2 linked regions of the Caenorhabditis elegans genome follow. The protein of the gene in region 2 interacts with the protein of the main gene of each other region in a biochemical or structural test. Each region holds a gene or a part of one and is shown on either strand. Other genes may lie near its edges.

Region 1 (3,758 bases), on a different chromosome or scaffold from region 2:
CACCTTGCCATTTTATCTCCTGTATAGATTGCCTGATAAATAAAAGCGTGTAATGTTTAACTGGATTTCGATTACTACATACTAAACAGATAATATAGCATGAAGAGCAATATCTGAATAGAAAAAAGAAACTTTAAAGTAAATGTAATGCATGATTCAGTGAATAAATATGGAAAAATTGCTATGGAGCATTCGTAAGTGTACAACTTCGGCTTATCCAAATCCATTTTCCGCTTCTTTCTGACCTACAACAGTGACGCCTTCAAAATAAAATTTAAAGTGATAATCGTCTTTATTTTTGACGAGAATAAAATATATTGCAATAAAACTATAGTACATGTGATCACTTGTGAATAATAATATTTGACATGGAATTATAAACTTAAGACGAGCGGGATGGGTGAGTATTTTACAAGTTAATCAATATAAATTTATATTATTTACAGCATGCATTCGTCGAAACTTCCGACATCGGATTCCAAATGCGGCTGCCAATCCGAATCCTCGAAGTCGGCGGATACGTCGTGGTCACTTTCCCGGCTCACACGATCAGTGTCGATTTCCGGGCCATTCGGACATTCGCTGCAGATCTCGTCGATGCTCTTTTTGATGCTCTGGATGCGCTCTCGAAGTTGCCTAGCGAGTCCTTGTTCTGGCCCATTCTGGTTGGCAAGTGCACGCTGAATGGCATTTTCCACACGATCCAATCCCAGAATGGCGCTCCTCGCATCATCAGAAACATTGGCTTGATCTAGGTTGATGGTCGAACTGCTTGGTTCAGATGACATTTCCTCTGACGAATGAACGACATATGTGTTGCAAAGGGGATTCTGAGTTGATTGTTCGGGCTTTCCGTGGTCTTGCTCAGCGTCTTCCGAGTCGACATAGGCCAGCTGGTAGAAATCTCTGTTCAATGATTTGCACAGAATTTCATTAGTTTCCTCTCGACTCTAAAAAAATAAGATTTTAGTTCAATAAAATTATATACTCAAGAAATTTACCTTGTTCAACGTTGTCATAATTACAGCATTATCAAGTAGAATCGATGAAGTGTTGTTGAAGACTGCAGCTGGCACAGCGACTGTGTTGGAGTCACAATATCTCAATGGAACCAAGCTGTACTCGTCGTCACTTCCGTCCTCATTGATTGCAGGATTCTTCGGCGTGCTGGTGTAAAGTGGTGTGAACGGCTGTAAAACAACAAAATTAGCATAAAGTTGTTAAAATAAATATTCTCACCCGTGGCTGACGATCTTCCGGAGTGTTATCCAATTCGAATCGGACTGCTTTCAACACACGAGGAGGGAGTTTGAATCCTTTCGATGGATGTGGAGTGTATTTATGATCCTCAGGAAGCTCATCTTGTGCTGGAGTAGTTCGATGCTTCCAATACGAAATCTCGTCGTCATCCCACCAAAACTCGTCGTTTTTCATTGACGACACAGACTCGCGAGTCTTTTTTTCAACAAACTTCTCCATTCCGTCGACGTCGTTGTTCCGGAAGCACTTCATTATTTCATCGACAGTTTCTTTGTCCTGTTTCTTCTTCAAGTCCTTCTCAGTCTGACGCCATACAAACCAGCTGAATGGCCGGAAGAACGAGACGCCTTGTACGTCAGAAGTGTGTGGAGATGCCATAGAATGCCAGGAGCTCGATAATGAAGTCGATTTCATTGTTCGAAATGATGAATCGGAAGTGCTCTGCCCTGAGCAGTAGGACAGAGCATCTTCTCCGATCATCACTCCGGCGTCTTGTCGAACCATTTGGAATCGAACGGCTGCAAGAGAAAATATAATTGGGAAAAAAGGAAGGAAAAGTGGAAAAAGGAAATTGAATAAATAAATTTTCGAAAAAATTAAGTTTAAGCTTCGAAAATTAATCCTAAAAAAGAGAAAAATGTGATTCAAAAAGGCTAAAAGTGAAATGAGAATACGAAAATACGAAAATACGCGCCTTTCATTGCACAGGTCTCGGCGCGACTTTACCTCCGGAAAATTTGGCACATGCGTCTTTAAAAGAGTACTGTAGTTTCCTTCAATATTTGCGACAATGAAAAATCGATTTAAAATCGAAAATCTTCCCAATTTGTTTTAAAAAATTATAAGAAATTACATGAGCTCAGAACATTTTTCTTTGGTATTTTTTCATTTCTAGTTGAAATCCAGTTAAGTTGCTAAAATTTAATCCCGTATTTTGTTGATTTTCCAGTAATTTATTTCTAGAAATAAATCAAATGTGTTTTAAACTCTGAAATTTCAACAGAAAAAACAAATAATCATGCGAGTATTCGAAGAATCGCATAAACTCCGAAACTTTAATTTTTTTAAGTTCATTGCCCGAGAGGAGAACACGGCCGAGAATCTGAAAAATCATTTGCACGCGGAATTCAAATTAGATCCTCAGGAAGCTCATCTTGTGCTGGAGTAGTTCGATGCTTCCAATACGAAATCTCGTCGTCATCCCACCAAAACTCGTCGTTTTTCATTGACGACACAGACTCGCGAGTCTTTTTTTCAACAAACTTCTCCATTCCGTCGACGTCGTTGTTCCGGAAGCACTTCATTATTTCATCGACAGTTTCTTTGTCCTGTTTCTTCTTCAAGTCCTTCTCAGTCTGACGCCATACAAACCAGCTGAATGGCCGGAAGAACGAGACGCCTTGTACGTCAGAAGTGTGTGGAGATGCCATAGAATGCCAGGAGCTCGATAATGAAGTCGATTTCATTGTTCGAAATGATGAATCGGAAGTGCTCTGCCCTGAGCAGTAGGACAGAGCATCTTCTCCGATCATCACTCCGGCGTCTTGTCGAACCATTTGGAATCGAACGGCTGCAAGAGAAAATATAATTGGGAAAAAAGGAAGGAAAAGTGGAAAAAGGAAATTGAATAAATAAATTTTCGAAAAAATTAAGTTTAAGCTTCGAAAATTAATCCTAAAAAAGAGAAAAATGTGATTCAAAAAGGCTAAAAGTGAAATGAGAATACGAAAATACGAAAATACGCGCCTTTCATTGCACAGGTCTCGGCGCGACTTTACCTCCGGAAAATTTGGCACATGCGTCTTTAAAAGAGTACTGTAGTTTCCTTCAATATTTGCGACAATGAAAAATCGATTTAAAATCGAAAATCTTCCCAATTTGTTTTAAAAAATTATAAGAAATTACATGAGCTCAGAACATTTTTCTTTGGTATTTTTTCATTTCTAGTTGAAATCCAGTTAAGTTGCTAAAATTTAATCCCGTATTTTGTTGATTTTCCAGTAATTTATTTCTAGAAATAAATCAAATGTGTTTTAAACTCTGAAATTTCAACAGAAAAAACAAATAATCATGCGAGTATTCGAAGAATCGCATAAACTCCGAAACTTTAATTTTTTTAAGTTCATTGCCCGAGAGGAGAACACGGCCGAGAATCTGAAAAATCATTTGCACGCGGAATTCAAATTAGATCGAGGAAAAGAGTAGTATTTGGAACTTTGTACATCATAACATCTTTCTGGGAGACTTTTGTGATGTTTCCCTTATGCACATTGCCTTGTTAGATCATATAAAAAGCTTTTGAGCAGAGTCTCAAATATTACTACATCACCTTTACATTTTGGAACCTTTAATTTTTCAATGGAAGTTTGTCTTCTCAACAAATAAGACAACAGAAGAACACATAAAACTTTATTGATAATGAAATGTCTAGTTCCAATCACTTGTTTCTCTTCGATGCCTTTGCTTTCTTATGTGTACTCATTTTGGATCCGAGTTTC
Region 2 (3,758 bases):
CCTGGAGAAGGGCGGCCAATCGAGTATTCTTCTCTTTTTCTTTCTCATATCGCCGTTTCCATTCTTCTGCTGTGAGCTCTTCGTTGATTTGTACAACATTCTTGATAGTCTTCGCACGTGCTCCGAACAAAAGTGTGGATTTAGTTTCAGCTTCGTTGAAATGTGACGGAGAAGCACAAATAATAACTGTAGTACGGGAATTTCCTCCTAGAGATTCTTGAAGAATACGAGTCAGTTTGGAATCACGATATGGAACATGAGATTTCTGAAATAAATATTCGTTTTAAGAAGGTCATAATTTAAACAACTCACAGTTCCTTCAGCCAATGCTGAAATAACTATTCCGAGTGCAGTAAGTGACTTGTTGATGTTTTTGGCTTCTTCTAAAACTGTTCCTTGAGCTCCAGTTTTGCTCACTTTCTCAGAACCAGCCAAATCAACAAGATAAAGCTTTCCGGTGAGCTGTTTCTTTGTTGTCTGATGTTCTTGTTTCACAGTAATCAAGAAGACGGAATGAGATCGAGAAGAATGTTCGTTCATGTCTGAAATTTCGTTCACATGTTAATTTGTTTAATTTTAAGTTTACTCACTCGTAACTGCAACCATTCTGTTGGATTTTCCATCTTCGATTGCCTGAAGAACCTCATCGGGTCCTCCAACAAACCGTTCGGTGGCTCCCTTCACGTATGGCACTCGATTTTTATCTTCATGAATGGACAAATTGACCTTCTCGGGGTCTAATAAATCTCGAATCTTCTCGTTGTAAATTTCATAATAGGACACTTTGATGTGAAATTGAAGATTCTCGTCCATACTATAAATGTGGTTAAAGATGTCAGCAACGATACGTGGAATGATTCCCGACAAGCCATTATCACCGATTACTCCCTGTAAAAAATATGAAAATAATTAAATTATATTGTTAATTTCATCGAGCGCCGAATATTTTAAACGTAAAAATTATCAAAAATCTTTCGGGCATTCGATTTCGGAAATAACTGCTGAAAATTAGTTCTCAAACTTTTCTTTTCATTAATCAGTAAAGATTTGCACTGTTGATATTACAACTTGATTGTCTTTGTCGCATTCTACGTAATTATCAAGGTTTTCATAATTCCTACCTCCATTGTATGTGTTTTTCCGGAAGATGTTTGTCCATATGCAAAAACTGTTCCATTATAACCGGATAATACATCCTGTACGATGTGATAAGCGGCTCCTTTGTACACTTGCTCTTGCGTGGTGTTCGGCTTGAACACTTTATCGAACACGTATACTTTTCCCTGAAAAATTCCAACAAATCAATCGATATATATATATATATTCAACTTTGCACTTTTCGTGTACTTTTCAAACAGATGAATGTGTCATGTGAGAGAATTGACACACCTGCATCCCCCGTGCTTCCCGTCCCTGTTGACATAATTGTTCCCTATGACCCCTTTGTATTACTCACCCCAAGCGATATACTGTCCTCGGAAGGGAATTTGGGCAGGAAACGGTCCGCATTCTTCTCCTCGGTCTTATTGAGCGGCCGAATACGACAAAATACCTGAAAACAATATGAAATTGGAAAATCTAGGCGGGGAAAATTAATACCTGGACACCGCATTCTGCTCCGTCTGTCCGCGGCTCCATTTTCAGAGAATAATGATCACCAGTTGGCGGTTTGTAACGGCGCCTATCGTATTAATTACCCGGCTTCTCCTTACAATGCCTGCAATAAGTATAATCAATATGCTGAGTAGAGAACAAGAAAAGATGACGAGATGCAAGAGAAATAGAGAAAGGAGGAAACGGCAAAACATTGCGAAATTTCGGAATATTTCATCACTCGTCTCGTGCGCGATGCACAGAAGCTGCGAGTTTTGTTTGATTGGGCGGCTTTGACAAAAAATAAACTAAAGGCTCATAGATTATGGATAGACAACGGAATGATAACAAAATAACAAAAACTGCAACGTTTGTACTGAATATTCAAAATTTTCACACAGAAAATAGAGAAATAGAAAAAGACTGGCGTCGATCAAACGTGGCACACACAAATTTCACAAATTTATGCATTTTTGGTTAAATTGTTCGAAAAATGAGTTCGGAAAATGTTTTATAATTGAAATAATAGCTTCAAAACAACAGGAAACTTCTGGAAACAATAAAAGTTTTTCCCGCGCGGAAAAATGTTTTAGTTGGCAATTTGTCGTGAAATCTTGGGTTTTTCGAATTACGTACGTTTGCCTATCGTATTTTCGGTCAGATTAATTTTTAATTTCAGTTTTCTTTTTTTTTTCAGCAATGCTTATTTAATTACTTATTTATATTTGACATTTTATGTATATGCGCGAGAATTAAAAATTAAAAACAACTTGCAAAATCTCGTACATTTTCAAAATTTTATACTATAAAATTAACACCATCCAGCAGTGCTCAGTAAACCCGTTCATAATATACCCAGATTTAAACCAAATTAAAACCGTACAAGCCTATATTGTGAATTTATCTGCACAAATTTGGTTTGGATCTACACAAAATCGATTTGGAAATACACAAACCTACACAAATTCAGTTTACATCTACTCAAACTTGCAATCTATGCAAATTAAGTTTGGATCTAGACAATCTTGGTTTACATCTGCCCAAAATTAGAATTTTTCATAATATAGGCTTGTACGGTTTTAATTTGGTTTAAATCTGGGTATATTCTGAACGGGTTTACTGAGTGACAAGAAAGACAAAGTGAAACTGAAATCGCAAATCCAAAAACTAACATTTCTCCACGATACTTGTCTCTTAACTTTTCGGAATGAATATTAGCTTCAATATTATGCAATAACATATGGATAAATGCGGTTTTAAATAAATTTCATAGATAAATACACAAACTAAACAAGATGAGGATATCCGAGGGCAAATAAGGAGACTCAAACCAAATATGGTCATCAAATTGACAATGAGTAATGGCCAATACGACACGATACGGCAGATGGTGAAGGAAGGCGGGGGAGACCGATTCGGATGCGAAAAAGAACGATAAGAGAGAAAAGACACTGCAGGTGGGAGTATTGTGTTCAGTAGATTTTCGTGGTGGGACCTAGAGGATGGTCGGTGCAAAAGCTTCATTGAAAAAGAGTGAAACGAGAGGAGAGACACACTCACAACATTCATTCGTTTGGCGGGAAAAGAGACGAGGGAAGACTTTAGTATTGGGTGGTAGAAAGAGTTGGAGAAAGAAATTCGAAGGGATACAAGGAATGTATTGGCATCGTGAAGAGACACAGAGATACATCCGTGGTTCCCTGTGTTCTCTTCATTTTGTATAATGTTTTATTCTCGGTCAGAGGGACAACGGACGGCCTCTTCAAACACTCACAGAACATTCGCTCACTGCGCTCACTAGTAGAGAATAAAGGAAGTTACGAGAGAATGAAACTTCGAAGATAAATCAATTTTATTTTTTAAAATCAATGTTCGTAAACTTCGAATTAAGTGAAACCGTAATTTGAGATATATGAGTTTTGTTTGATCATCACAGCTACCATTTTCTCGGTCCATAGCCACATTGAGACAATGGATCTGATTCTGGTGGTTGATGATATAGTGGTGCATATCCTGCTGCTGCAGATGGATCATAGTGATTTGATGAAGCAGATGATGAGGCATGTACAGAAGTTACGGGACGTGACGGCGTTAGATAAGCAGTGTGATTTGGAGGCTGAAAATGTAATGCAATATTTTAAAACACGTTTTACAAGATAATTTAT

Evidence for each region.
Region 1: the proteins of unc-116 (region 2) and kca-1 form a complex in vitro, tested with the Caenorhabditis elegans proteins (one study listed by BioGRID).

What each region holds. Positions count from the first base shown.
Region 1 is NC_003279.8:4,759,544-4,763,301, forward strand, and holds kca-1 (Kinesin Cargo Adaptor), read right to left. Parts: upstream 1,779-3,758; 5' UTR 1,765-1,778; coding exon 1,240-1,764; intron 1,191-1,239; coding exon 1,002-1,190; intron 951-1,001; coding exon 441-950; 3' UTR 277-440; downstream 1-276. Other genes in the region: kin-35 (Protein kinase domain-containing protein), read right to left, coding at 3,698-3,758.
Region 2 is NC_003281.10:8,353,458-8,357,215, forward strand, and holds the start of unc-116 (Kinesin heavy chain), read right to left. Parts: upstream 1,718-3,758; 5' UTR 1,639-1,717; coding exon 1,600-1,638; intron 1,553-1,599; coding exon 1,457-1,552; intron 1,284-1,456; coding exon 1,122-1,283; intron 889-1,121; coding exon 591-888; intron 543-590; coding exon 313-542; intron 266-312; coding exon 1-265. Other genes in the region: Putative RNA-binding protein R05D3.8, read right to left, coding at 3,530-3,709. UniProt on the Caenorhabditis elegans protein: Microtubule-dependent motor protein required for organelle transport. Plays a role in endosome transport. Required for the transport of mitochondria along the axon of motor neurons. Involved in the nuclear migration of hyp7 hypodermal precursor cells.